Lonchura striata: one gene and its partners. The protein of the gene in region 3 purifies or fractionates together with the protein of the main gene of each other region. This does not show direct contact. Links are inferred from orthologs where the notes say so. Each region holds a gene or a part of one and is shown on either strand. Other genes may lie near its edges.

Region 1 (7,429 bases), on a different chromosome or scaffold from region 3:
AAATTACTGAAACAGAAACTGCCTCAGTTGCACAGAGCAAGGCTCCTGTCAGCCAGCTGAGCACACATCAGGCTGGCTCAGCCAGCCTCATGGGGAAGATGAGCTGCAGCTCAGCTTTGGTTTTTGTGGGTGACTGGTGGTGGGAGAGACCCTCGAGAAGCAGAGATGAATAAAGGGGGGTTAGCCTGGAGCAACTTTAAATAGAAACTGGTTGGTGGTATTTTATCAAAGATAAAAGTATCATACATTATTTCACTATTAGAAACCTATGGGTAAATAACTTTTACTTCAGATACATGCCTGCATTTTCATTCTGCTTCTTTAAAGGAGACAAGTTTCCAGTCATTCTCTATGTGTATAAACCCAAGGTCACTGGTAGTGTATATTCAATACTTGGCAAAACTCCTGAAATGAGTTATTGCACACATAAATAAGGTACTGTTCTTTCCCAGATTAAGAAATAACTGCTGATATTATTGTGCCTAAGATGGGAATTCACCTCATCCCCTTTCTCAGTCTAACTTTCTTAGATTGCAAAATTGTGGAATGTTTGTTGGACACAGTTTGCATTCATAGATATTTACAGTTGCAGGGCAGTGTTGGCTGCAGTTCATTTCTGTGAGCCAAGGGCCATGACCTGGAGCTCAGGACAGGAGGAGACAGGAAAGCAGGCTCAGGCTGTTCCCTGCTGGAGCCCCAAGCTGCAGCTTTGGCACAGCTCCAGCATTGTCACTGCTGCTGTCGTCCTTGCTGGACACCAGGGGATGCACTCTGAGATGTTCTAAAGAATTGTTCTAAGAGAACAACTCTAAAGATATGTTCTAAAGCACCTGCTTTCTTGCAATTATTCTTGTGTTTTGCAGAAATATTGGTGTGGAGAGAATGTGAAACAGTGTAAGACTCAAAATATCTTCTATGGTCCACAGTGTGTGAGCTCTTGTAGGGAAAAATTCCTTAGGTCAGTTTTGAAGGCAATGCTTTGTTCTAAGTCCCTGGGCAAAGTGGATGCTTGTACCCCAGCTTACACGAGTCATTTGCCTTGTTTTTCAAAAACCAAAAAGGTGACAGACAAGGCTGCTTGCAGCCAGCAGAGAAGGCACTTGAACTGCCATGTTCTGCAAGGATGTAGGTACCAGAATGGAAACAGGGTTGCAGCAGAACACAACGCTCCAGTCCCTGCAGTAGCTGAGCTCTTACACTGTGAAGTATCGGGTTCAGGAGTGCCAGGGGACAAAAATCTGTGTCTGCTCCCTGCTTTTGCTTTGTCCATTGGTTTAGGGTTTAGATTCTTGTTGCAAATTGTTCCATTATGAGATACATCACACTACAGAGTGTCTGTCCTGCTGCTGCAGGTTATGGAAAATGTCTCCTCTCCTCTAAAGCTAATTTTTTTTAAGTCCGGTGATGCCCAAGGAAGGCATTGTCACCACTTTATTAGCTTTGCTGCACCTCTTTCAACTCATGCTCTGCCCTGCAGCTCCAGGAGTGAATTGTTTACAGTAGCAGAATTGTGACTGGAGCAGCTACCCTTAACTCTTCTGCGGGGAACCTGAAGTGCTCTCCTACTTGCCAAATCATCTACAAGGCCACACAATGGGGACACTTCTTGCACACTCACTCTCCAGTGCAACTGCACTCAACCCAGGAGTTTTCTGCAGGGGAAAGGCTTGTGTCAAGTTGTTAACCAAGGGAAGCGAGCATGCTTTAAGCAGGGAGAGCACAGTGGGTATTTAAACAGTGAACCATGCCAATAGGGCCATACAGCTGATCTAAAATCTAGCAGAATTGTGTCTGTATCTGAATCTCCCCTTAAGTAAAATGTAAAATGGACTGCTGTGTCCAAAACTTTCCACCTGAGCCCCACAAAGGTGCTGTTGCAGCAGGGTGGCTGGAGACCCTTGAGAGGGGCCTTTGAGAGCAAGCCAGGGCAAAATGAACCATTCAGAGCCTCTTGATGGTCTGCGTGTCTGTGCTACATTAGAGCATGATCAGCAGGGATGTAGGTGTATGTGCTTTGCTTTGCAATGGAGCAACACTTCACATTTTCCATTTCATTAACTCTGGGATTTATCTGGCAATACCAGCACACATGGGAATTCCACCTAGCAGTTCCTGCAGCCCTTCTGTTAACGCAGCTCACTGTTCCTTGTGTACAACACAGACCTGACCTTGTGTTTCCGTGTGAAGACAGACATGCACCTTCCCCTCTGAGCTCTGTTCAGTCCAAGATCCAAACAAAAGCATCACCCTTAAGACAGCAGTAACACTTCAAGCACGTGGAACTCTTCAGCCTTTAAGGCAGTTTGTCCATCTGGTTGTTACGAGGAGCAAATAGTCCCAAAGACAGCAGAAGAAGTGCCATGTACTCTAAAAGATTGCATAATAGGAGCTATGAACTTTCAGTAAGGACAAGGACAGGTTTCCAGTAATGATTTCTGTGTTGGGAGTGCTGATGGGGATTTCCCAGCCATGGGTATCCTTTCCAGTTTCCTCTTTTGAGGGGTTTGAATTGCTTATAAATACCCTCTCTGAGTCTGAGAGCACACAAGACGATCTCCAGCTCCTTTGGTTTTGCCGTTCTGCAGTGGTGAGTGGCATTCTGAATTAGTGAGCTGTGTGCAGTGTTTTGAGCTGGTATTCTTGGGAGCAGAACCAATGCTTTAGCATGTGGGGCTTCTTTGTACTCATGACAGGAGCAGCAGGGATTGCTAAAATGCATGTTTCTCATGTGCATCTGCTTTAGTTGCTGAGTTTGTGGTTGCACAGAGGTCACAACTCCTTGCAGGGGGAGAAGGGGGTCCTGGGTGAGCCCCCAGCGCTGGGGCAGCAGCCTGGGCACATCTGGGGGTGTGGTGGGTTCTCAGTGGTGCTCCAGGACTGCTCATCTCTCTCACTGTTTCCCAGCTCCCCTGGCCAGGAACCATGAGGCTCTGGGTCTGCATCGCGTTGCTCTCCACTGTTCTGTGTGCAAGTGCTGACAGACCAAGGATGTTCGATGGAATAGTCCGAGGTGGACAATTTGTCCGGGATGCAGCGGGAGGTAAGCTCTGTTACCAGGGGCCCTTCCCTTAGGAGCCCCCTCCCCAAGCACTGCTTACCAGCAGTCAGTGCTGCAGCCCTCAGAGCAGGGAAATCTGCAGCTCCACCACGTTAGAAAGCCCCTGGTTTCTGCTGCAGGACCTCGAGGGCCTTGACCAGCCCCCACAGGTGCTTTCTGTGAGCACAGCCCTGTGCAAAGGCTGATGCAGAGCAATGCCTCACTCTGTTTCTGCTCCTTGGGCCTTTCAGCTCCTGACTGAGATGGTACTGAACTATTTCTGGTGCAATTCTTTCAAGTCACCCTTATCTCCATTTCTCTGCCTTCTTCAGGAGCGTATGATATGTTCAGAGCATACAAGGACATGCGTGAGGCAAATTACAAAGGTGCCGACAAGTATTTCCATGCCCGTGGGAATTATGATGCTGCCCGGAGAGGACCTGGTGGTGCTTGGGCAGCGAGAGTGATCAGGTAATGGAGTGTGTTTGGCTTGTTAAAGTGAGTTATTAGCGATTCAGGCATTCCAGCTGGAGTGAGGTCCTTTTTGACTCGTAATCAGCTTTGCACCTAGGACAGCAGAGGGGAGGGGAAAGAGTTCCCATCTGGACAGCCGATCTCTATAGGAATGGTGCCACATGAATGTGAGCCTTTCTCCTTGTCCTCCCAAGAAGGCAGATTTCTCTCTCTGCATTTCTGATAAAGAACTCTCCTTCATTGCTGGTTCATTTCCCAGCATAACAGATACGGGTTCCACCGCGGGCTTTCAGACAAAGGCCGGGCTTGTGCTTGCATCTCACCTTGAGAAGCCTTAAAAAGCAGTTTCACATGAGTGAGGGCCCCAGCACAAGGCTGAGTTAGATGCAGTCCGTTCAGGTGACATTTTCTCCTTCCGCACAGCGACGCCCGGGAGAACTGGCAGAGCGGCGTGAGCGGCAGAGGCGCCGAGGACACCCGGCTGGACCAGGAGGCGAACGCGTGGGGCCGGAGCGGCGGGGACCCGAACCGCTACCGGCCCAAGGGGCTGCCCAGCAAATACTAGCGCTGTACTCCGCTCCTGTCACACCTCCCTGTGTACAACCCAATAAAGGAATCCTCCTGAGAACCGTTCCCTTCGCTGCGAGCATCCGTCCTGCCGGGGCGCGGGACTGCGGGGCGGCGGTGTCGGCGCATCACGGGGGCTGCTCGGGTGCTCCGGGAGCGCGGGCGCCGCTCCCTGCCGAGGGGCGGCCCTGGGCGGGCGGGTCCCGGCACTATCCTGTCACGGTCCCGGTGCGATCCCGGCGCGGTCCCGGCGCGGTCCCGGGCGCGGCAGGCGGCCGCGGCCGCCGGGGGGCAGGGGGCGCTGTGGGGCCGCGGGCGCCGCTCCGGCCGCGCCGCCGCCTCGCTGCCCCCTCACGGCTGTGGGGCCACCATGGACCGCAACCCGTCGCCGCCGTGCAGTGATGCGGAGGAGGAGGAGGGGGACGCGGTGGGGAACACGGTGTACAGCAAGCACTGGCTCTTCAGCGTCCTCACCCGCCTCATCGAGGTGCGCGGCCGCCGGGAGGGAGCGGGCGGCGGGCCCGGCGTGGATCAGCGCCGGGTGGGTGCGACGCGATCGCTGCCAGGGCCGGGGGGACAGCCGGGCAGCAGCGGGGACAAGCCCGGGGACACAGCTGGGATTCACAGGGCACAGAGCCGGGGGTCGGGCGGGGACACAGCGGGGAAACGCCTGGGGGGCTGCCGGGTGTGCGGGGCTCAGCCGGGTGGTTCTCCCCCGCCCCGCCGTGTCGCAGGTGATCGCCCCCGCCGAGCCGGAGCCCGCCGCCAGCCCCCAGGGAGCCCGCACGGAGCTGGACGAGGAGATGGAGAATGACATCTGCAAGGTGTGGGACATGTCGATGGACGAGGTAGGAGCCCTGTGTCCCGTCAGAACGGCGCTGGCCGCGGGAGAAGGCAGGGAACCAGCCCGTTCTGGCGCTGCTGCTCACGCCCGGCTGTGGCGGGCAGGGTGAGGCAGGACTGCTGCGCTGGGGCGGAGCAGGGCAGCAGCTGGAATTAACTCGGTGCACAGCCTGTGCTTTCAGCACTTGCATTATCAATAGTATTGATGCCATCTCTAAGCAGGCGTATTTTCCTCTAGCAATTGTCATATATCCTGATGGTAACATAGCTTTCTCTGATAGATAAACAGTCTTTCAAAGTTTAGCTGCAGACTTGCAGTGTCAATGTATATTTCTCAGCACTCTCAAATGCTGGAACAAATTATCGAGATATATATATATTAGTTTAAGTATTATTTTATTCCCTACCTTGTTTCTCAGATTTTTTAAGTAAACATCGAACATGGATCTTTTACTCCCAAACAGACAACTAATCTTGTGTTTTAATGTGGTAAAATGAGGAAGAGATTTCTTCTGATCAAGTGTTCACTTCACTTGCTTCTTTTTTATATGTCATGGTGATGTCATGCCTTAAAACACGATATTTACTGAATTCTGGTTGAGAGTCTGTTTCTGTTGAGATAGGGAGCAATTTGCATTTTCTTGTGAATGTGACTTTTTGGCTCATTCTACAGCAAATCACCAGCATACTGAATCGCCAGAGGGGCTTGCTGACCTTCTCTCATTGGAAAACAAGGATTATTGGTATTAACTGCTGGCAAATAACAAATTCCTTGTAGTGAATTTGTCATCTCTTTGATCCAGTCCTTGTGCTGTGGGAACATGTTTGATTTTGCATTTGGAAATTGCAAAGGTCCATTTACTTCTCCATTCACTTTCTCTGCAGGATGTTGCTTTATTTCTTCAGGAATTCAACGCCCCTGATATATTCATGGGAGTTTTTGCCAAGTCCAAATGCCCTCGCCTGACTGTAAGTATGGGCTGTCAAAAAGCTCTTCTGTGTTAACAGCAACAGTAGACAGCTCTGTACATGCATTTACATTTATCTCCCTTCTCCCACTGCATGTGTAATTTATAAGGGGAACCAGGAGAAAACACAAAATCAAATTTTTAAATGCTTTTTCACTCTGTTTTTAACATGGTCTAATCAGTAAGAATTTTGGTAATGCTGAAGCTGGTCCATCTCTGCTCACACATCCTCATCTAGATATACTGATGAAGGACTGAGTTTATTGAACAGTTATAAGACCTGTTATAAAACCCAGCAGTCTGCCCTGCTTTTTCCTTTTGACTTGTTTCATGATTACTGAACAGAAATGGTCATGAATTTGTTTAGGCAGACCTGCAGAAGTTTGACCCTGGCTGGAGGCCAGGTGCCCACCAAAGCTGCTCTGTCACTCCCCTCCTCAGCTAGACAGGGGAGAGAAAATACAACAAAAGGCACATGGGTCAAGATGAGGGCAGGGAGAGGTCACTCACCAGTTGCTGGGATTTGTCATGGACTTTGGCAAAACAGATTCCACTTGGGGAAATTAATTTATTACCAATAAAATCAGAAGAAGATAATGAGAAATTAACACAAAAAGATTACAAAAAGTAATATTTGGAATTGTTAAGGCACCAATACTTTAATTAAAAAAAAAAAATTCTATTTGTTTTGATGTTACTGATTTCCAGCTTGTGCTACACAGTGCACTGCAAGTCTCAAAATAGGATTTTCAAAGGTATTCAGTGTTGATGTAAATCCTCTTTCTCAGAAGTTAGCAGATGCTTTACTCCAGGAGATCAGTAGAGACAAATAGAGCTTTGAAAGTTTAGTACTTTGGAAAATACAACCCAAATTTGCAAGTGAGTGCAAATTAGCTGTCACAGCTACTATAATGAAACAGTGTTTGCTGGAGTGCCTGATGTAATATAGCAGATGTTATAGCATGTTCATAATTAAGAAGACAATCTTAGTGGAGAGAGTTGATTTCTGACTTTCAATTTCTGCAAACTAATGACTCGCTTTGTTTTAGCCTCAGTTACCTGCAGGTGTTTCAGTGCTCTCATGGTCCTCTTTACACAAGTGGGCATCCTCTTAATGATTACCTTGGCACGAATATTCTAATGGGATGAACTGCTTTGGGGGTTTTATTTTATTTTATTTTATTTTATTTTATTTTATTTTATTTTATTTTAATCTCTTTAATCAGAAAATGGACTTTGCTGGAAACTTGTATTAAGATCCCTTTCTTTTGTGGGCACAAGAATATCAGTGAGGGTCACATTTATGTAGTGGTATTTTTGTTTTAGGACTCCTTTTTTGCTTTAATAACAGGGCTGTCAAATTAGCTTCAAAACAATATACAAAGAGTATGCAAGCAGAGCTGATTTCAAGATTTGTTTTTATGGAACACCTAAATATCTGCATAGTACCTGAGTGTATTTTAAGCTAGTCTGATAGAACAGAAAAAAATTGCATGGAATCTGTGCAAAAATTTGTATTTTTGTAATGAAATCAGTAAGT
Region 2 (7,300 bases), on a different chromosome or scaffold from region 3:
CAAAGACTGAGAGTTTCATGGTGCACTCTCCAAGGCATAGGGCAGCCAGTCTCTTCTCCCCAAGATAACCCAAGAAAAAGGTTATTATTCTGTACATTCTCCCAAAATGAATGTTACTTGATTAAAGAAATCCTTGTTATCTTCTTGCATGCCTCTTATCCCTGACAATTGCACATAGGCACTTAGGATCACCTACACATTGGTTAACAATAGCTATCACGAATCCCCATGAGCACACCTCCATGCAGTAAAACCAGCAAACCACTGTGGAAAAATTTCACCACTAGTTCCTGCTTCACAAATCACAAGTACCAGACACATCACCTAATGAGGAAATAGGGAATTTTTAATATGTAAACATACAATTTAAAATCTAGAAAATATTCTGAATCACAGTGAGGTTAACATTTCCTTCTCCCTCTGTAATACTCAAAATATAAACTATTAATTACCAAGCAGTAATGCACATGTCTTAAATATGTGAAACAAACAGATAAAAGAAAATGCATTAAAGGGAAAGACACAAAGGCACAGAACCTACATTTGCATGTTCCAGTTCCCTGCCGAGACACTGACTCTCTACATTGCCTTGAAAAAAAATTACTTGTTGCCTCCACACTTCAAATTATGGTCATAAAATGGAGGCAATGCCACTTCCTCACACTCTCACAAGGGTGATCTTAAGATTGTGAAATATCTGCATGTTACAGGATTGAAGGTCACACAGAAGCCAGGTAAGAGTGAGAAACATGTTTTAACTAGCACTTAAAGTATTTTATTACCCTTGCAGATGGAACACTCCTGTAGCCTTAGTCACCAAGTGAGATCCAGTTAAGGCTGCCAAGGAAAAACTGTCTGTTCACTCTGTGAACAAGGGCAGGATGGCAATAATGACATTCTCATATTAAATAAAAGGAATGTCATATGCACATTTTTCTGTGCAGAAAACACAACAGTTTTTGGGATTTTTTTAAAATGCAAAAGGAAGCTTGAAGTCTATTATTTAACAGTGCCACAGAGATTATCAGGGCACTGTAGTATCACAAGATTTGTTCACAGCAGGTAAAATTCACACCCTGCAGTGAACCAACAAAAGACCACTTAAATCCTAATTTCAGCCTTCATGATTGAGCCAGTGACATACTTCTGTTAGTGCCACATAGGGATCGTTTCTGGATCAGAATATTAAAAGCACTTGTAATTCAATGGCATTTCCTTCACAACATTTTTGGTTTCCCACAAAAAAAAGGTCAAGGGAATCTCTTATAATCTGAAGACCAAACCAATCTCTTTTATATACACTGGTTGACGCAAGTAAAACTAGGTGGTACACCCTTTTATTTCTATGAGTTTTAAAATCATGTAAACATATAGAAATTGGCTATTTAGTTAAAACAAAATTGTATCACATTTTGGTTTTTTTACCCAAATAGTTATGAAGATAGGCTATATTCAGCGAGCATGCTCTTCTATGAGAGACTTCATTATTTCTGAAAGTCAGTCAACAAGTCATCAACAGGTATCAAAATAGAGAACAAGCTTAGTATTAGAAAAAGAAATTCCAAAATATATTGAAATATTTCAATATGAGGTGACCTGCAAGTAATAAGAAATGGAAAAATTCGGCTTACTGATAAAGCCATGCCTTCAAAACTTCGTTACAGGTAAAAAAATTAGTTCCTTAAAAGGAAGAATACAGAAAATATACATTTAAGAGTAGAGCAAAAGAGGGTAAAAGTCAGCATCAAGTACCAGGGTCCTGCTCTTTTCTCTGGTATAAACACAGGCAAAAATCAAAGATGTTAAACCTCAGTCTCTGTCCCTTGGAGGGAATCGACAGGATCGTCCCTGTGCCTACCGAGCTTCCGCTGGAATAGTGGAAAGTTGGATCTGTAACAAAGATTATTTTTCCAGCAACAGTTTAATTTTAGAAAGGCACCAACAACAGGCACCGCTCTGAACACCCTGAGCGCGTTCCTTCCCCTCCCGATCCATCAGCGCCCGCTTCCTCCCGGAGACACGATGCCGCGGCGCGACCACGGCTCCATTCGGCCGCTTTAGCCGAACAAAACGCTCTTCCTGCCTGGAAAAAATAAAACAACAAAAAGCCAACTACCCAACCAACCGATGCCATAAAAAGGCAGGAAAGCGGGAGCACGGAAGGAAGAGCCGGCGTGCCAGGAGCCCGCACCGCCGCCCTCCCGCAGCGGACCCGGCGCCGCCGGCGCTCCACAAAACCCACGAACGGCGGCACTTCCGAACCGGGCTGCAGCACCCGCACCGGGCCGTGACGCCGCCGCCCGCCCTGCTCCGCCATGGCCGCCGCGCCCGCCCGCCCGCCCGGAGCTGCCCCACAGCAGCCGCCGTCGCCTGGGCAGCGCGGCCGCGGGGCTCCGGCGGGGCTCCGGCGCGGCTCCCGCCTGGCGCTCTCCCCATCCCGGCCGCACCTGTCGGGTGGTTGCGCGGTCCGGGGCGGGGAGGGCGAGCGAGCGCGACAGCAGCGGCGACGGCGGGAGACAATGGAGGAGTGAAGGACGGACACATTGACACACCGGCGCCTCCGCCCGCCCGCACCACTTCCGGCACCTCCCCGGGGGGGAGAAACGGAGGAGCCCCGGAGAAGCCAAAAAGGGGAGACAAAAGAAAAGCGTAACGCATTTCTCAACTTGAAAACAAGGAACAAGAGGGGACAGGCTCCTTCTCTCCGACAACAGCGGGTGGGAAGCTGGCGGAGGGCGAGAGGCTGGCACGCAGCGACCCCCATCCCTGGGCAGGAATGGTTCGCCCCGCCGTCGGCCCCGGCAGGGCGGGGCTGCGGGCGGAAGGCTCCGGAGGAGCGGGGCGGGGCGGTGCCGCGGGAGGGGGCGCTGCGGGAGCCGTCCCGGGCCGATCCCGCCTTACCGTGCGCGGGGGCCGCGATGGCTCCCCCCAGGAAAGGCGACCTGAGCGCGGAGGAGAAAGAGCTGCTGGCAGTGATCTCCACAGGTGAGCCCTGCCGGCCCTCGCCGCTCGCGGCCGCGGGCCGCAGCTCCCACGGGCCGCGCTGGCCGTGCCCGGAGGATTGCGTGGCCCCGCTCGCTGCGGGCGGCCGGTGAGGCGCCGTTACGGCCGCTCGCCGCGGGCTCCCCTCGCCCCGGCCGCGCTCCTCGGGTCACGGCGCTGAGGGCCGCCTGCCTCCCCCCCGCCGTCGGCCGCCACCCTTCTCCCCGCCGCGGGTTCACCTCCCTCGGGCAGGCGGCACCCGGGGAGTGCGGGGGGCGCGCTGCGCTGCAGCGGGGCTGGGGAAGCTCAGCTGGGCCGGTCTGGCGCTGCCGAGGAAAGCTTGCTTGCATCTTATTGGCAATGTCTGTTGACGTTTGCCGAATTATGATGTCCGCTGCCAAAAAAAAAAAAAAAAAAAAAAAAAAGTTTTCTTGGGGATAATCCAGTTTTCCAGCGTGCTGTAAGGTTTTTCCCGTGTCATGTTGTCAGACCAGGGCGTCTTTGCAGACACGTTATTCTTACATTGCCAGCACTTGAGCTTGTTTGGGGCGTTGCGCACCTCTTATCCCTTATAATGTTCTATTTTACTGCTCCTTATACTATCTTATATTGCTCTGTTAGAGAGAGGAAAGGGGATCAATGTCTATATGAAGGAATGGTATCAAGATGATAGAACCAGGTGCTTCCCGGTGGTGCCGAACAACAGGATGTGAGGCAGTGGGCAGAAACAGATGCACAGAAAATTCCTCTTGAGTAAGAGTGGAGTTGACCGTGCACTAGAACTGATTAACCAGAGAAGTTGTGGAGTCTCCCTCACTGGAGATACTCAAGAACTGTCTGGATGCAATTCTGTGCCATGTGCTCTAGGATGGGCCTGCTTGAGCAGGGAGGTTGGACCAGATAACCAGACTGCTGTGGTCCCTTCTAACCTGACCCCTTCTGTGGTTTTGCATTTCATGTGAGTGTCACACTTTCATTGCACTGTCTGTCACACATACTGGTTGCCAGGGGAATTTTCTGTCATTTGGGTTCCAGCAATGTGAATTTCATAACTCTGAATAAATAGTTCCCCTCCAGCTGGTATTTTGAAAATCATGAACAACATTCATTAGTTGGAAGCAAACGAAAAATTCATGTGTTCTATGCATTTCTGTATGTAGTTACCAGGCAATTTGAACGCATGAAAGTTTTGCTACAGTTTTGATGCTTCACTCTCAGTTGTATTTAACTGTTTCTCCATGTCAGAGACACAAGCATAAGACAGTCAGCAGTGAATTTGTTGTGGACCAGAACCAGTTTGATTGACTCACTTTAATAAGTGTTTCAGACCTTGATCTTGCAGACACCTCTGTCTAACTTACTTGATGCTTCTGATTAGGGTAATGGGATAATTCAGGTTGGAAGAGGCCTCAAGAGGTCTCTAGGCCAACCTCCTGCTCAAAACACATCAGCTGTGAGGTCAAATGTGATCACTTAGGGCTTTATCCCATCAGGTATTGATAACTTCCAAGGAGGATGGCTGCACAGTGTCTCTGGGCAATCTCCTTGCCTTACTGGGTTCATTGTGAAAATGTTTTCCTTGTATCCAGTCTGAAGCTTCCTTTTATTTCAGCTTCTGCCTGTTAACCTCTTGGCTTCCTACCATGCCACCACTGTGAGGGGCCTGGCTCCAACTTTTAGCTCTGGCCAGTTCTAGAAGTCTGACTTCCATCAGTTTAGTGCCTTGTTGGAAATCTTTCAACGTTTTGTCATATAGAACTCTGTATTTGTAAATGCAACTTTGCTTTGCTTAGGTTGTATTAAAATTTACTTGAAGATCACCCCTTGAAGACTTTCTCTTACTGATGTTGGTTCTTTAGCTGGGATATTCCTCTGTAAACTGATCTAGTTCTTAAGAAGTTTCTAACGTGTTTAGAATATAGGTATGTCTGGGGGAATAAGTTGGTTGATGGTTCCATGACTGTCAGGGGTCTTTATTAAGTGTGTAAAATGACTCAGACAATTGTCTTTTTTTAATGAAATTAATGAATTAAAAGAAAAGTGGTAAAAGCCCCTGTAGTGTAGTTAAATCACACCAAAAAGCCTTGTGAAAATAAATTATTTCTAGTATTTCAATGGGATTTTTAGCCAAAACTGAAGTTGCAAGAGCTGTTCTGCTGAAAAATTGCTGGATGACTGTCACTATTGGACACAAAATGAGTACACAGAGACTTGGTAAGTTCAAAGGAGAAAAAGAGCAAATTTTATTTCTGACCTTGCAATATATAGAATTCCAAAAGTGACAGTGGATTGGAGGATGGAATTGCCACCTCTCCAACCACGCTGGTCAAACCAACAGTCCATCAATTCTCTCCTCTCACAAAGAAGAATGTAAAACAATCGTTATTTATATGAACAGTGCATGAGAATGCCAGTAGAAATATGTAAATATCAGAAGGCATAGGAAACTTTTAGAAGAACTTTAAAACTTTCAAAAGAACTATAAAAGAAAACACTTTTAAAAATCAGGGCAACAGATGACCACCACCTTCTGAAAGAGTGAAGATGAACATGAAAATCATTAAAATAAGTGATGCAGTGCTTATTTTTATTAAGCACATCACTGCTGAAAGAGTTTTGCTTATGATTGAATCAGTAATTATAAGTTTCTGTTAATTTGCAATAAATATTCTCCAAACTCAGACTCTTGGTATGTCATTTATTTCTTTGTGCCTGTAGAAGCTGCATTGGCAATATCTGAATAGTCCTCCAGTGGGCTTTAAATCAGATTCTTAGACCTGTGGCTTAGCCAAAAGGATTTTGGTAAGGAATTGAAAAATGCCAGGACAGTAGAATTGGAAAACAGGTGTAACCTGTTTTTCCTGGCACATTTTCTTTCAGTCTTCAGTCTACTTATGCATTTGGCAATTTTTACAGATGTTAGTGATCAAGCTACCTGGGTCCTTGTCCTTTCTATCTCTGCTCTCTATTACCAAGAGCAAATTCATTCCACTCCTGTAAATGTGAAACATTGCAAATTTCAAATTGAAACAGGAAAAATTATGTGAGTAAATGATAAATCATGTTTCATTCAAACCAAAAAGTCTTTGAAGTGAGGTAATTTCCTTTTTTGAGAATGTAAACAGCTCTTTTAGACAAAAGATGCTCCAAAAGAGATGAAAGTACAAAATGTATTACAATGCTCAGTATTACGACACTCATTTGGAGCTGTTCATGTGCTCTTTATGTTAGTTTCCTTTTCTTGTGTGTGTAGGTCAGTTACTTCACAAAAAATTGATGTTTACTTATAGTTCATGCTTTCCAACTGCTCCTTGATGTTGTGAGTTCTTTCAGCTTTTAGCTTCTAGAACATAATACTGCTCGTTCCTAAGCTTCTTCACCAAGTGTCAACTAAGTGCTACTTTAGTGGTGGTTAATCTACATCCCAATCAGTTTACATGCAAAGAGTTTGATTCTAATGAGAAATGGAAATGACCATTTTCCTCTAGATTCTCAACCCTTTTTCTCTCTTTGTCCTTATATTTAAAGGAAACACCGAGGAGGCTGGAAGGCTGCTGGGGAGCAAGAATGTCCGTGTCAATTGCTTGGATGAGGTACTGCAAAACTGTGCAAGCATTATGCTGAGTTTAATAAGGAAAATGCTAGGTCTGAAGGCCTTCATAATGTTAAATAGCATTTCTCTAACAGCAGTTGCTGTAGCCCTGAAAGTCAGAGTTAATCTCAAGATATTTCCAGCCTGCAGCTGAGTAATGAACATTTGAAGAGTTCTTACTGTTTTTTAAAGCAAGTTTAAAGATTAATGTTATTTAAAGTACAACACTGTATTTTGTCTCACGTTCCAGCCTGAGCTTTGTCTGTAAGGTGGGATAAATGCTGCAGCAAAACACGTGGGGGTGCTCCCTGACTTCTTGTCACCTTCACAAACAGTAATTCCTCTGCTTAGTCCCTCTGTGGCAGACATGGCACCTGTCCCCATTCCATGCTTGGGTCTCATAAACATACTTGGAGGGTGAGTAGCTCGATCAGAAATGGAACCACAGCCTTTCATACAAGTGGGTGTGGTAAACGTGTAGAAGATAAATCCTCAAGTGCTACCTGAAGGTGGGAATAGGTTTGTGGAGAAAGGAACCTTATATGATGTTCTTATTTCCTCCTCTTTTTCTTTTTACAATGTTTTTCTAAAGCATGCAACATTAATATGAAATATAACATGCAAACAAATTTAATTCCCCATCATGCATGATAAATTCATGTGTAATTTATCGATTTAAATGTTAATCTGTGGTTATTTTCACAGCTTTATAATTTCACAGGATCA
Region 3 (7,078 bases):
TACAGGTTTCAGTGTTTAAACCAGGAGATTCTGTTTTGCTGGAAGGTGCTGTGTTACCTTCTGCAATGTGAGTGGACCATGGAAAATGTCACCATTACTGAAAAGTAAAAAATTGCAGAGCTCCTGTGCTGCAAGACCCTGAACACTTAACAATATCATGAACACACAACAGGTTCCCTACAAAAATGGCAATTGAAATTATCCATAAAAGGCAGCTTGAGGGTAAACACAGCTAGAGCTGGCATTGGCTTGAAGAAGGGAGTGCAAGGCCATTCAGCATCTCCCTGGTTCCAGCCCAAGAACCAGAGCTTGAGTGGTAGCTACCAATGCATAGAGGAGGAGAAAAGCCATGTGTCTTTTCCTGGATATCAAACAAAACTTTGAATGGCAAAGACTTTTCCTTCCCTCCAAGCTTGAAATACTCATATCTTCAAGATACTATTTTATTTACCTTAGATGTACTCAGAGCTCCAGCCAAGTGCACCAGTCTCCCCTCATTCTGCTGAGAGATACTGAGGATGCTGTCAAGAGGGACCACAAGAGAAAGCCCCTCATCGAGAGACTTGGCTGTCCTTAAAGCTCGTCCCTGCAATGAAGAAAAGAGAAATCAAGTTGTGGAGAATCAATGTCACAGCAGCATTTTGTGAACAAGATTAGCAGCATCACAAGAACTGATGACCACAAGGAATCCTTGTATATTCAGCCCAAGGCATATTTTTCAAACACACTTGTACTTCTCTATTCTCTGTCTGAGCCAGTTTGGGGCAGTACTTCTCACTCAGGCAGTGGGACCATTAACATTGACTAAGCTTCTCAAACAGACTCAAATTCTTCCTACACAGGTCTAAACTTACTGCTCTGCACTTCTTACCTTGTTCATCATTCCTCAGTAACTGCAAAAATGATATAAATTATAGTTCATTTTCTACACACCTATATTGACTCCTTGGCAGAAGTTTTCCCTGCTTATCATCATATCCTGATGGGCTTTTTTTCTGCAAAGTCATCAAAATTTGAAGCAGTTATTATTCCTCTTGTAGAGGTATGAAAAGAAGTCTCTACATGAAAACCCACAGAATTCTGATCTCCACTCCAAAATTGCCAAAACAAGTATGTTTTCAATGGTAGGGTGTTAAGATTCCTGGATGACTTTTTTTTTTTTAAAACCTCAAACCAAGAAATAATACTGAGAAACTCTGTATTATTTCTGAGAACTCCTCTAATTTTGCAACATGGGGTATGAATTTCTTTAAAGTAATTATAACACCACTAGAAATTAGGACCTTTTGTTATCTCAAGAAAAAAGAGGGCGGGCTCACACAACCCTCTTACCACAGGCTGTTTCATCACCAGTTTACAAGCTTTGGATGTTATTTCTCATCACACACTGCTACTGTCTCTACCATACCTATTTTCAGAGAAATACTACCTGTGGCCTGTGATTTCACTTTTCTGTTACATCCCAAGCATATACACAAGGTCCCCAGACAAAATCTCCTCTTCTCAAAGATCAATTAATGCTGTGTACAAACACTGACAGTATTGCACTTACTTCATTGGTAAAAAGAAGGTAGAAAGCCAGAAGAAATGTCACAAGTCCAATCAACATGCCTCCAGAAGTCTCACTGAGTCGCTCCAGGAACCCTGGTTTGCGCTCACTTGTGATTTTAACATGCTCTTTTCTGCTGCCTGTGTCAGAGAACTGCTGAAAATAAACAAAAGTGCCATATTGGTGTGAAAGGGGAAAGCATTCCGTTTCAAAACAAGTCTGCTAGCTTTGTTAGCACTGCTGCACTACAGAGAACCTCTTGCCTTGGACCAAAACTTGCCGACACTTATAAAATGCCTTAGCACGCTTTTAATACCAGAAACACATTCGATAAATAAGACTCCATCCTGGTAGAAAAAAACCGCAATTTCTATTATAGTGGTTCTACATGTTCAAGCTGTCTTCGGTCTGCCTCCAGGTTCTGTATTTGGAGTCCACGCCCTACATTCATGCCATGACAAATTGAGTAATAGCCCTAAATTCCTGACCAGCTAAAACACTGCTATAAATAACAAATTATGATTCACCTCACCAGTAAAAAGTGTGCCTGCACACTCTAAAATAATTATATCCAGGTTAACAATAACTCAAAACAAGGCACAGGACTAACATGAGAGCCCAGGGGTTTTTCTGTGCACACGCAGCTTGTGAGGAGCTACCAAATCCCACTGCAGCACACTCACACAGCCAAAGCAGGGCACGGAACTTCTCTGTATGGAAAAACACACTACGAAAAGCCAGTGGCCATAAAGGAGAAAGAGAACTCCTGTAACTTTATTCGAATAAAGGCAGTCCAATAGAGTCCAATGGGGCACACAGCCGCGGAGTTTTCTCGAGGTTTCGGGGGGTGCAGCCTCCTTTCATCCTAAACTCCTGGCTGCTCGCTGCCTCTTCCTTTCCCCATCGGCTCCTCGGAAGGTGGACAGAACCTTCCCGAACCGGCTTCCACATATCCCCCTCCTTGAACCCACTGTTTTACCTCAAGGTTCAGAAGTTCAGGTCTGTGGAGACCCACTTTCTGTTCCACGAGTTAGGCTGTGTGGGCTCTGTAACAAACCTGCTGCCCAAAGTTCACAAACTCAGGCTTGTGCAGATCCCCTTCCTGTGTCAGGAGCCAAGCCGCCTCAGCTCGGCAACCAGCCTGCTGCCCAAAGTCAGTAGCGACGCGAAGACCCATTTCAAAGGCATTAACACCCATACTTTCAGCCATGGAATTATTTGCAAAGACATTAGCACACATCTTCCCTCTCATCTAAAGACGGCACCGGGCCGTGGCCGCAGCCCTGGCACACCGGGGGCGAACGGGCCGGAGCGAGCAGCACTTACGTTCCTCGACATCCTGAGCCTCTCACGCCCCCCGGGAACCACAGCTCAGGGGCCGCCGGAGCCGCGCACCGCCAGCCGCGCCCTCAGCCGCTCCCGCCCCTCCTTCCTCCTTCCCTTCCCGCCTCCCTCTCTCTCCGCCCTGCGGCCGCGGGGCAGGCGGAGCCCCGCGGCCGCAGGAGGTGCGTCACGGCCGCCGCGGGGCCGGGAAGGCGCTTCCGGAGGCGGGAGGTCGCGGCGTGGAGCGGCGGCGCGGCGCTGCCCGAGCGGTGCCGGCGGGACGGCAGGAGCGGAGCGGCGGGGCCCGCGTGCGGCGCGCTGCGGAGGAAGGCACCGGCCGGCTCCGCCATGTCCTACTGCAGGCAGGAAGGTGCGCCCGAGCGTCCTCCCAATGTCACCCCGCCGGGGGTGGGTGCGCCGCGGGGGGACCGTCCGCTGCCCGCAGCCCGCCAGGGGAAGGCGCAGCCGGAGGGGAGAGGAGGCGCGGCGGCCGCCCGCGGTCCGCGTGTAGCGGCGGCAGCGCCTCGCCTCCCGCCGCCGACCTTTCTCCTCACGGAGGGCGGCGGGGCCGTGGGGCGGCAGCGCGGTCCCGGCCGTGTGGGCGCGGTGAGGGCACGGTGAGGGCACGGTGGGGGTACGGTGAGGGCACGGTGAGGCCCCGCAGCGGCCGGAGGTGCCCGCCGAGACCGCGTGTGGCCTCAGGGCGGCTCCCGGCCGCGGGGCGCCTGCTGCCCGCCGGGGTTACATTTATCCCAGCCTGGCTGAGCGGCCAGAGCTGTGGGGTTTTGCCTTTTTAAGGTCGATGGGCAGGGTGGGTGTAGTGCGAGCGATTCTGTATCGTGTTGTACAGGTGGTGGTGTTTAACCACTTCTTAAAGTGGGAGATGCGTAGATAAGTATCTATATCTACTTATATATAAATAAAAATCCTTGCTCTCCTAAGTAATGCCAAGTGGCTGAATGTAAAGTTTCAGGATGAGGAAAAAAGCACCAATAGTTCTAAATGCCATTCGTAAGTTACAAACTTGGCCACAGACTATAAACTGTATCGAGGTGGTCATAACTTATGGACCTCTTTTATGCTTTATGCTGTGCTTTGTTTAGTTTTGCAATATCTGTAAGTTGCTTTATGCAACCCTACAAAATTGCAGTGACAGGGTTAGAGTTCATGTGTTTTCTCTCTCCTTTTATATAAGAAATGACCAAACGTTCCACATTGTACTCCAGCAAACTTTACCATGCAGATTTGTAAGAAAATTGTTACCATTTTTTTAAAAGGTCTTAGATTTTTCTGTTTTTCAGATATGTTTAAATGCATGGTTACTCAGCAAGGTTAAGTTACTGAACATCTGCTGGCTGAGGTCACACTGAGGGGCCAGAAGATTCTAATTTCTCATATGTCAAGTTACTGTAGTGGCCTTTATGAATTTGGAGAATTCTTGGGGAGTTTACCATTTTTTCCACTCTCAGAGTGTGTGTTAGAGCTTTGCAAGGTTGTTAGAAAACTAAAACTACTGAAGTTTCCAGCCAAGCCTCCCCCGACCCCACTATGGAATGTTTTAGTTAAATCAAGAGCAGGAAATTTGCTCTGTTGCATTTCCATCCCTTGTAACGTTCACAACACTTTTCAATGTAGTTAGCTCTATATGGTGACGGCTGTCTTCTGTTTTTAATTCATATGATTAGTTTAAAATATTATACTGGTCTTTAGCAAAGAGTGCTGTTATTAATAAGTACCTATTGAATGCTTTACTGCTATTATAGGGTTTTTTTTTCCACTTCTAAACCTGTCATCTGTTTTAGTCCTTGTCTTGGAGCAATTTGAGTTTGTTTTGAAACAGCTTTTTAAATTTGCAGTTCAGTGGAGTCTACTGTTCATTACAGGACATTGCTATGAAAATTGGAGCTTTAGAATAACAGAATTTCAGTGTGTATGTGTTCCTCTGGACTAGCAACTGTTGTCATTGAAGGTAATTGTTAAATACAACAGTTCATTCTCAATATTGGTGAGTCACATTGTGGTGTTCAGCAGTTTTGTAAATAAATCTTTTTCCATCTCAGATTTCTCTGAACTGTTGTTTCTTGTCTCCTCCATGGCAGGAAAAGACAGAATAATATTTGCAACCAAGGAGGACCATGAGACACCGAGCAGTGCTGAGCTGGTTGCAGATGACCCAGATGACCCTTACGAAGAGCAAGGTCAGTAGTGAGCTGAAGAACAGAAGTAAGGGGTGTTACATCATATATAAATCCAACAGAAAACAATCCCTGCACGAATTAGGAAAACTTAAGCATATTTAAAGCCTGAGGGCAGCTGGTTATGCAGAAAATACCCAAACTCTTAGCAGTTTTAACTGCGAGGTTAGGACATCACTAATGATACGCTTTATTCCAGTATTTTGTCTTCTACACTTGTGATTTTTCTTAGTACCTGTTCAAATAAGTTGATGGCTTTTAGTTTTGGTTAGTGGCCAGGGATATGCAGGGATACCTTTTCCTTTTATTAATAATGTTAGAGCCTAATCAAGTGAAAATTATGATTGTTTTTCCTGTTTTAAGTAACAGTGTGCAATTTTTAGAGAAACTAGGGAAGTTTTATATCACTGTCATTGAAGTGAGTTGCTCACCTGCCTGTGAGCAGTTGGAATTGCCTACTATGGCAATGTCTGAATATCTGATTTAATATAAATTAATATCTGGCTAATCTATACTATACTGGTAGCAATATAATCAATATCTTTCAGTGCCACATGACGGGTAAGTTAAAATTACTGAGTTTTCAGCTGCTATCATTGTGCCTTGAAAATGCAAAAGTTTTAATGAAGATTACAGTTCTTGTCTGAAGCATATCTAACCTGAAAATAGAGATTTAAGAGAGCAGAATAGTTCTGAGACCAAGATTTACAATATTCTGGTTGTGTATTTTAAATAATGGGTACATGAAATATATTTCCTGTAATGATTATTTAATAACTTTTGCCCTGGGTTAATGATTATCATGGAAATGTGAGTTTAGGTTAATTTTTTCTAATTGCCTGTATGTTTACAGACCTTTTGGTCTCTTCACTTTGTGGGAAGGGATTTCATTGGTTTCAGCTGAACTGAAGCTGAAGTAAATTCTTCAGACTCTTTGAACCTTAGTTAGAAAGTGAAAGTTATGCTTTCTAAAGTGTCTCAGAGACCTTTAGAGGGCAGCATTTAAGCAGTTTAGCAGCTGGAGCTCACAGGGTTTCTGTTAGCTGATATGGTGTGTAGTGTAATTTGAACCATACCTTCCTCTGTCATTTAGATTAACTTTTTTCGTACTTAGACTTGTGTTGAAATGTTACTGCATTATCTGCCTATTTTGGTTTCATTTGAGCTGTATGTAGTCAGTTATATATCCAAGTGTTTTTCTCACCTGCACTGATAAGTCTGTTGATGTCCTGGTGTGACATACTTTTGGGTAATAAACTAGTCAAAATTAAAAAAAAAACCACTTTATTTTTGTTTAAATGCCATATAATTCATTGCTCTTACGTGTATTCTGGTGGACATGGAAAGGCTGTGGTGAGGAGGAGAGGTGATGGGCTTTGTTTCCTGCAGTCCTGCATTTACAGAATGTTAGGTCACTTTCTTCCTCAACAATAGATAAAGAAGAAAGGGGAAAAGCCAGGAGGTTTTTATGTCACCTTACAGTGACAGTATGTGTCTGGGGTTTCAAAATGAGAAATATGTTTAAGTACTGTCAAAAAGTTTGGGTGGGAATTTCTTATTGTGTGATTTTCTTAGTTTGTTGAGTTTTATTCTTAGTATGTGGTACATTACTGCCGTGTTTTTAAGTCTGAAAAACCTCTTGAATGATGCAGGGCTACAGTGCATTAGATCAGAAGAGAGAAAATGGACCAATCCCAGAATGTAGCAGTAGGGAGTGAAGCTTATGGGCAGGAAAGACATGGGTAAAATGGTTTGAAATATGTTGAAATGCTGAAGCTCTGGCATGCATTGCTTTTATTTAAAAGAAAATTGGGAAGGGTTTTGCTGTACCTAGTGTAACATGTAGGCTTTTCTAATTTAGCTTCTACATGGAATAGAAGACTTGGTTTCCAGTGTTGTATAATTAACTGTAAGGACTCTTTTCATCTTTTCTGCTGTGCCAAAGATACCAGTCATATCTGGGAAAGAATAGATGCATTATAAAGACCTGCCATAATCTGCATTGTTTTCT
Region 4 (8,001 bases), on a different chromosome or scaffold from region 3:
AGCATGTAAGTGGATAACTTCCCTGTTCAAAATAGATTTAAAGTGTGGAAGAACTGTTGCGGATCTGATTAACTGACAATCTGTAAAACAAAGGCCATTACAATTGAAACATAAACTTTTTTTTTTAGTTGTTATCATGTTAAGAAGCACCTTCTAATTTAAAGAATGGAGGTACTGGAGCTTTCAGCACATCTCTAAATAGCTCATTTTGACAGATAATCATTTGCAATATTAAAAACATTGCCTTATACTGCTAATCTACATCCATTCTGCTTTTGCTGTCTAGCATGGGATTGTCATTGTGCTTCTTTTAAAGAGTTTGAAGATTAACAGAGATTTTTTTTGAGTGTGAAGACTATGATAAAATGCCAAAGGAAGTACCCTTTGGATTTTATTAATTTTATTCAGTATTTATGCAATGCATTTATACTTCATGGTGTATGGTTCATTTATACTTGAAAAGGTGGCTGTCTGAATTTCACTGTGCAAGTTTTTGTACAAAATGAGAACATGTCTCTGTCCTAATGGTGTTACAATCCACAGAGCAATGGGGGTGCTTCACTCTTCCCAGTTGCCACCCTTTTCCTCTGATTGTACACCATGGACAACCTCCTCTATAATGTTTTGTTTAAAACTCCATGTTCTTTTTCTCTTCTGAATTCAGCTGCGACACCACTCCAGGGCATCCCCTGTCTGCTGTGGGTGGACACTGAGTCTGGACAGGAGAAAATGCAAGTAAAGAAGCAGAGGAGCCAGATAGCATCCCTGGCAATCTCACAGGCCACCCTTGATAGTGAGCATCATGGCAGAGTTGAGCAACAAAGCAGCACTGCCGGTGGGGGGCCATTCCTCACCAGAGCACTGTGGTGAAGGTGTGAAGACAAAAGGCAGTGGAGATTGGTATTAAGACCTCATTTTAGGTGGGAATCAAAATCCCAAAAATGTGTTTTTAAGCTCTACCCTAAAGAATTTGTTGTCCTTGTGCCCACCCTCTCCCCTTGCCCTTGAATCTTTTAGTTACAATTGGAAAATTGTTTCACTCTCGCTTTTCCCTGTGGCTCAGCTCTGGGCTCCCTTCCCAGAGCAAGTTTTTAAACTAATTTTAAAAAGAGACTGTTTCCCCATGAGACAGTGAGGAGGCAGATGTGCTGTCTGACATGCCATGGCATGTCTGCTGGCACTCTTGTGCTCCCAGTCTGAGCTTGGTATGCCTCCTGAAACAAATGGTGCCTCTCTCATGAGACTGCTTGCCCTTGGAGACACTGTCTTCCTTTTCTTCTCAGGAGGAAGAGACAGTCACATACAACACTTGAGTCTCACAGAGGCCGTGATAGGAGACTGGAGATCCAGCCTGGAAAAATATTTGAAGTCAAGAATGTTTTGAAAGGCTAGAGTAGAGGGGTCAAGCATGTGAGGGGATAAATTTTCTATTTGTAGCAAATCCAGTGTCAGTCGTGTGAACAGAGACAGGACTGGAGAAGCAGTGTGGGAAAGCAGACAGACAAGCCTGGCAGCTTCTAATGGCTAGAGAGTGTGGATGCTGACATGCTTTTCAGATTTGTTGTGAAGGGAAGTATTCTTCCTTTTCAGACATTGTTCTTGATGCTTGTTCTTGGTCCTCCTCTTGACCCTTGGGGAACAGGAAGACTGCACATCTATGTCAGGTCAATGAAGATGGATGTGAACCTTTCCTTTTCCTTTCTCCCTATTCCTCCTCATATTTTCTTCTCATTTTCTTATCACAAGAGACTTTCCTCAGATTTCTCTCATCATCTCACTTGACCTGTCACAACCTGGCTCTGGGCTTCCTCACGCCTATTTCCATTTGTTTTCCTTCTTCACCTTTTCTTAGCACCCTAGATTTTCAGGAATGCAGATCCTCCTCAACTCTAATTTTTACCCAATATCTTCCTTTTCCTGATGGTTAATACCATTTTCTGGATCCTTACCTCTTTTCTTCCCTTCCTTCTCTCCAGCCTCTCTTAATTTTCCCCAACACACTTTATCTCTGTCATGCCTTGCAATCTCTGTGTCTATACAGTTTGTTGTCTACAGCCTCTCTTGTGTCTCACAACCTCTGCCTGCCACTGAGTGATCAGCTTCCTCATGAGAGGAAGAGGAGGGGCAGGCACTGATCTCTTCTCTGTGGTGACCAGTGACAGGAATGGCCTGAAGTGTCAGGGGAGGTTTAGGTTGGATATCAGGAAAAGGTTCTTCACCCAGAGGGTGGCTGGGCACTGAACAGGCTCCCCAGGGCAGTGGTCACAGCACCAGCCTGTCTGAGATCAAGAAGCATTTGGACAATTTGGGCACATAGTGTGACTCTTGGGGTGTCCTGTGCAGGGCCAGGAGTTGGACTTGATGATCCTGTGTGTACCCTCCAAATTGGGATATTCTGCGATTCTATGATCACATTTCTTATGTGTCCCTTTGGCCACATCACTCTGCATTGTCCCTGGCTTCCCTCTGCTCCACCACATGAAACATCAGGCTCTCACCCACACTGCTGACACTGCTCAGCTTATTGCACTGTCACTCCTTGGTGGGTTTGGAGAAGGCAGCCCTGGGTGCCAGGGCCACACTGCTGCCACAGTTCATGCTGACACCACCAGCTCCCTCTGCCCATTGCCAACCCAATGTGTATTTTGCCAAAGCTCTTCTGCTCACATCAACAGCCTTAGGGCTTTTTGAATCTGACCTTAATACTCCTTTTGGCATCAGCTCCTGCAGGCATTGCTCGCTCACAGCCTATAGGGATGACTCCCTGTGATGCCTATAAAAGCATCTGATAGCAGATAAGCTACTGCAGCACTGGGTCATCAAAACCTCTGGCCAACTCCATCTCACTGTGTTTGAGTCCTCTGTCTGTGGTTCCTTGGCTGAGACTGTAACCTTCCTAGGGCAGGGCAATCTTTATCTTTTCAGCATGGTGAGTGCCACAGCATGATGGCACAAGTCCCTTTAGTAGTAGTGATGTTAGCAAGAGAAAAAAATACACAGCTCTGTGTTCAAGGATCACAACAGCTATCTTAAATTAGATAGAAACTGGACAGGCGCCTCGTTTGGACAGAAAATTGAACGGGGAGTGGAGGAGTGGAACTCCATGCTGGCTTCCAGCAGATGCTCCTCATGGGAGGTGAGAACCTGAAGGTCCTGCTCTTCAGGATAAGTCATGTTTATCTGTTTGCTGGTAAATGAACAGCTGAATTGGTAGACAGACCCCAGCCTCATACCTTGAAAGGAAAGAACTCCTCAGAGTTTCCCAAAAGCCCATAAAAGCTCTTGAGGGTCAGAAGAGAGCTTGGGTTTGTACATCTGATGAGACAGAGTTGCCGTTTTGAGGCAGGAGGTTGATTCACAGGTCTAGGACAGAGGCAGGATTTCCACCGGTTTCCTGGCAGAAATCACTGATCTGTTCAGTGTGCTGTGCCTGCTGTCATGCACATCTTGAGACACCTCATGCTGGATTTTCATTGGATTGGGACCATGCCCATCCTGAGGTAATGCATGTCAGCCTTGAAGTGGGGTGTTTAAATTTATTGTCTGACCTAGCTTTGCCTGCTAGTAGGGCTTACCATCCTTATGAAAATATTTTTTCTGCTGTCCAGGTAATTGCAAGTCTGGAATCAGAAAAGCATCTAACAGCAAAGGTTCAGCTTCAGTTCTTGATTTTCCAGGAGCCTTTATACATTCAGGAAAATGAAATTTTATTTCTGTGCTTTCCTTTCCAACACCTTTCCTGAACATGACTAACTCTTTCTGGCAGGGCTGGGTGACCAGTCATCTGCCTGGACCAAACCCAGGCCCACTTACTACATTTCCTGTTGTTCCCCAGCCTGTCCAGCCTGCCTCTGTCTCCCCTAGCTGATATCACCACACCAAAAGGTGTCGACGTATTTCCTTGTCTTGATACTTCCAGAAGTCATCCCTGAGTAGAGGAATGATAGTCATACAGTGAAGTCTATTTTTAGCCTTTCACGGACTCCTTCTCTGACATTCAGCAGGCTCACCACCATTAACCACTCACCATTCCACTTCATAATTTTCAGTGTGGACATAATCCTACCTTGTCTGCAAAGTACATGTGGAATGGTAGCACGTGGGAGGTTTTTTGCTTGGAAATTGTATTATAAAAGGGATTTGTGCCTTATTGACATCTAGGATTTTTTTAAATTGTTGGCAACACAGCTGATCACATCTCACTTCTTGGGTGGGAAAATGCTACCTTTTCTTGACTCCAAGGTCCTGCTCTGTGATCTCCTTTCCATCTCCACTGTTTAGAAAACATTAATTTTTCCCAGTCACTGAAGGAATACTGCTTTTACCCAGCAGTAGCCAAGGTACCATAGGCAGCTGTTTCTTGGGTGGATGGTTACTCTGCTGAACATAAACTTGGAGGAGCAGCTTAATTTCCTTTTTTTGCCAGTTCCATAGGTTTGGTCAAAATGTTCTGTGGTGGATGCTGATTAGGGATATGTGGTCTGAGGGTCTTCATCCTTCTGTGTGTTGTTAATCTCTTCTGAGAGAGGGTCTCCCGAGATGAGGTGATGCTGGAGGGTTTTGAGTTCCCAATACCGCACCAGGAGATACGGCAGGTGAATGCCTTTCCCAAGCATCTAAGCAGCATGTGGCTGGCAGCAATAGTGATGACAGACACCCCAAAAGGGGACAAAAAGGACTCCCAGAAGCTCCAATATTGCCACCTCTCTTCTTTCTCTCCCTCTCCTTTGGCCAGGCTCACAGCTGGAGAGGACAGCTAATACCTTCTTTGGGGTGGTGGAATCTGACTTTGCAGCATCCCCTCTGACAGCCTTAGGAGCATTTCTGGCTGTGTCAGCCAAAATTCCTGCCGGGGACTGCTGCAATGCAGCACACCACACCCCCGCCGGCGCTGAGCCCCAGCCTGGACGGTCGGTGCTGCTCATCTCCAGCGCTGCGGCTGCCACGGGCGCCCCTCCTCCTGTTGGCCGATGATTCCAGGTTGCCTGGCATCCCCTCCTGCGGGCGGCCGTGCCCGCGCCGTGTGTCACAGCGGCCCCGCTCGCTCGCGTTCGGCTCCCGGCGCGCTGCCCGCGGAGCGCGCCGCTCCCGGCCTCCGGTTTCGGATTTCATCCCTCGCACGCTGCACCCGAGCTCCAGACGCTCTCCGGCTTCGCTGCTGCATGGACTCTGAGCGCAGGTCCTTTGCCGTACCCAGCGGAGGCAGACGGGGCTTCCCTCGGCTCCAGGGAGTGGACCATGAAGACGTCAATTGTATTCTTGCTTTGCATCTCCGTTTTCCCAGGCTTTTCCCAGGGCAGAGTTGTTAGAGAGGATGAAACTGGTTTTGCCGAGTGTAACGTGTTCTTCTCTGGACAAGTCCCACCCGAAGGATTTACGGAGCCGTTCCATGCGAAAATCTGTCAGCAGTACAACAAAGAGCCACGCTTTGCAACCCTCTACAGCACTAAGGACAAAATCCCTCTTTATTCAGCTTTTAAGTTTACAAAGCCAGCTCAAAGTGAGGAGGAGAACTGGCTGGTTGAACCGCAGGTAAGGCAGCTTTTCCTTTGCTGAATAGCAACTCTTCCTGGAGAACATTTCCTCTGGGAAATGAAAGCTGGGGCTAGAATTTTGCAGAGGAGGCAGGAACTCTTCTTGTTGAACTTCTGTTGGTATGAATATAGCATGAGCAAAACTTATTTTTGTGCTTGGAAACGGGCAAACAAATACTTTCTTGTCCCAGGGAGCTTATAATGAAAACTGAGAGGCTGCTGCATGAAAGTGCAGTGCCAAGGGAGAGGAAAGCCCTCTCTGACACCAGTGATGTGTTTGTCCTGCCCAGCCAGCTTTCGTGGGCAGGGAGCGCTGCTGGTGGGTTAAACATCGCAGTGTCAAGTTCAGGTTTGTTCTGTTGCCAGTATGCTCACAGTGTTGATAGGGGTTCTTTAGCTTCACTGAGCAGAGATAAAGCATCCATTTGTGGTTCACCAAGTTGATGCTGCAGCTTTTCAGTGAGTCCCAGTGTTGCAGACTGAGGTAGGAAAATCAGTTGCTGTGTTGTGGGGCATGCAGGTTTCAGTCAGGTCAGAAGTATACAGTATAAAATGAATCTTGCCAGAGCCTCAGTGGTTTTTGTTTCTCCTGCCACTTGGCGTGTTTAACCAAGGCCTTCAGGCTGTTCAATTTAAAGGAAATCCTTTAAAAACTGATGGTGCCCTAAGAGAACTTTAGCTCTCCTATTTCCCCTCCCATTTCTTAGATTTTTCAGCAGTGATAATGACAAATATTGTAGCAAACATCAGGCTACCCCATCTGTTGAGCTCAGGAGAGATTATGAGTGTGTACAGGTACTTTATTAGGGCAGGAATGGCTGCAGTGTCAGAGCAGTGTGTTAGAAGTGTGGCCCTCAGCTACTGGATGTTGCCACAATCCTGCGGTGGCTCATTCCTCTGCCAGGAGAATGCTGTGCTTATTTTTCTCATGTGTAGTGATGAGACACTAAGGCCACAGGCATTGAAGACAGGAGATATTAAATGGTTATCTTAGCCTGGACTGTCTTCTGGCTGTCTGGGCTGGGTCTTGAGTTGCAGGAGTTTCTAAGAGCCTTTTTATCTGAGCTCCTTCCAATTCGCAGGCAAGCTGTGGGATCTTGCCCTTTGTTAAAACAGAGGAAACTTTTTGCAGACTCTGTCGTTACTGAGTTGTGGCAGGGTGGCAAATTTTTAAAGAGCAAAGGGGACTGTCTGGCAAGAATCTTTGGTCAGTGCCATGGAGGCAGCAAGGTAAAGCAGCAGAGATGAAATCCTTTCCCATTTGCCTTGGCTAGTGACACCCATCACCTTTAGCTCCCATATCTTTTCCTGCTTCTTGCGGTCCAGCTCTCCCACCCTATCTAGGTAGGCTCGGGAGCTGTTCCTGCCATGGAGCAGTGGGCAGCCCCCCCACTCCCCTGCCCAGTAACTTTGGTTCCCCTGGACCTCCCTTGAGCTGGTGTCTCTGCCCTTCCTGCCCCATCCCTTTTGACACTCGTCTTAGTTCCTGCCAGCACTCCAGAGTCCCAAACCTTGTGTGTCCTGCCACCAAGACCTTCTGCAGCCTCAGAAATAGTAGGGCAGGTGCTACCTTTATTTGATCTGGCTTCTCCAGAGCAGCCTCACAGGTTGACAATAATGGGTCTACTGAGACCCCACTATAATAATAATGAGACCCCCACTAATGGGTCTTCTTCATCCACTAGTGAAATGCAGATGTCTTAGAGGCAGGAGTCAGCAACTCTGCAGCTCCCTGGAGGAACCTCTGACTGAGACAGAAAAGTACTAGGACAAAAAAAAAAAAAAAAAAAAAAAAAAAAAAAAAAAAAAAAAAAAAAAAAAAATCTGCAGAAGAATATGTAAGGGGAAGAAATCAAGAATATGAAAAATTCCTATAACTCAAGAAATGAGTGCATACAGCCCTCTCAGATACTGCCACTTGGAGGAGAGAGTGGTGGGGAAGAGCTTTCACACCCTCTATGTGTGTTCTACCAAGGCTCTTCAGATGGCTGCTGAAGGGAACCCTTAGCAACACCTGCTCTGCAGCATAGCCCAGTGAGCTCATATCACCAATTTTCTGGGTAATTTGCTTGCCAAGATAGGGATAGCTAGGTATGAGCTGGCTCAGCTGCACAGTGGCATGTACTTGCACATGGAGATGCAGACACACAGCAAAGGGAAAGAAATCATTATAGAAACACTCTCAGCACTCCAGTGAGGGCCTCAAGGTTGTCATATGCTTTTTTTTTTGTTATAATGATGTAAGTGGTGAGGGCACCATCTCACTCCCTCCTCAGGAATGTCTGCCTGAGAAACAAATGCCAAATGTAGCACAGAGGCAGTAATTGGGTGAGGAGTGTGAGGAATGTCAGTGCCACCCACTGCAGATTGGCAGCTGGAAACAATGAATTAATTCAGCAATTAGTGAAAAATTAGAGAGCAGGAAGGGTAGGCTGATGAGCAGGGTACTGATGGGACTCCCGCAGGC

The links.
Region 1: the proteins of TMEM43 (region 3) and SAAL1 purify together in Homo sapiens (affinity purification with mass spectrometry; 3 studies listed by BioGRID and IntAct, with this or other methods). This does not show direct contact. The link is inferred for Lonchura striata from reciprocal best matches to the Homo sapiens genes TMEM43 and SAAL1.
Region 2: the proteins of TMEM43 (region 3) and BZW2 purify together in Homo sapiens (affinity purification with mass spectrometry; 3 studies listed by BioGRID and IntAct, counting the BioPlex papers as one, with this or other methods). This does not show direct contact. The link is inferred for Lonchura striata from reciprocal best matches to the Homo sapiens genes TMEM43 and BZW2.
Region 4: the proteins of TMEM43 (region 3) and ENDOD1 purify together in Homo sapiens (affinity purification with mass spectrometry; 3 studies listed by BioGRID and IntAct, with this or other methods). This does not show direct contact. The link is inferred for Lonchura striata from reciprocal best matches to the Homo sapiens genes TMEM43 and ENDOD1.

What each region holds. Positions count from the first base shown.
Region 1 is NC_134608.1:48,284,760-48,292,188, forward strand, and holds the start of SAAL1 (protein SAAL1), read left to right. Parts: upstream 1-4,422; 5' UTR 4,423-4,448; coding exon 4,449-4,565; intron 4,566-4,812; coding exon 4,813-4,926; intron 4,927-5,806; coding exon 5,807-5,890; intron 5,891-7,429. Other genes in the region: serum amyloid A protein-like, read left to right, coding at 2,923-3,040, 3,370-3,508, 3,935-4,076. UniProt on the Homo sapiens protein: Plays a role in promoting the proliferation of synovial fibroblasts in response to pro-inflammatory stimuli.
Region 2 is NC_134603.1:127,663,456-127,670,755, forward strand, and holds the start of BZW2 (eIF5-mimic protein 1), read right to left. Parts: upstream 3,010-7,300; 5' UTR 2,986-3,009; coding exon of another isoform or gene 2,919-2,985; 5' UTR 2,902-2,918; exon of another isoform or gene 2,879-2,901; intron 2,584-2,878; exon of another isoform or gene 2,448-2,583; intron 1-2,447. Other genes in the region: ANKMY2 (ankyrin repeat and MYND domain-containing protein 2), read left to right, coding at 2,919-2,985, 6,511-6,575. UniProt on the Homo sapiens protein: Translation initiation regulator which represses non-AUG initiated translation and repeat-associated non-AUG (RAN) initiated translation by acting as a competitive inhibitor of eukaryotic translation initiation factor 5 (EIF5) function.
Region 3 is NC_134614.1:14,600,661-14,607,738, reverse strand, and holds the start of TMEM43 (transmembrane protein 43), read right to left. Parts: upstream 3,016-7,078; 5' UTR 2,888-3,015; coding exon 2,876-2,887; intron 1,706-2,875; coding exon 1,553-1,705; intron 587-1,552; coding exon 452-586; intron 1-451. Other genes in the region: CHCHD4 (mitochondrial intermembrane space import and assembly protein 40), read left to right, coding at 3,221-3,242, 4,972-5,070. UniProt on the Homo sapiens protein: May have an important role in maintaining nuclear envelope structure by organizing protein complexes at the inner nuclear membrane. Required for retaining emerin at the inner nuclear membrane.
Region 4 is NC_134604.1:39,661,968-39,669,968, forward strand, and holds the start of ENDOD1 (endonuclease domain-containing 1 protein), read left to right. Parts: upstream 1-4,989; 5' UTR 4,990-5,238; coding exon 5,239-5,532; intron 5,533-8,001. UniProt on the Homo sapiens protein: May act as a DNase and a RNase. Plays a role in the modulation of innate immune signaling through the cGAS-STING pathway by interacting with RNF26.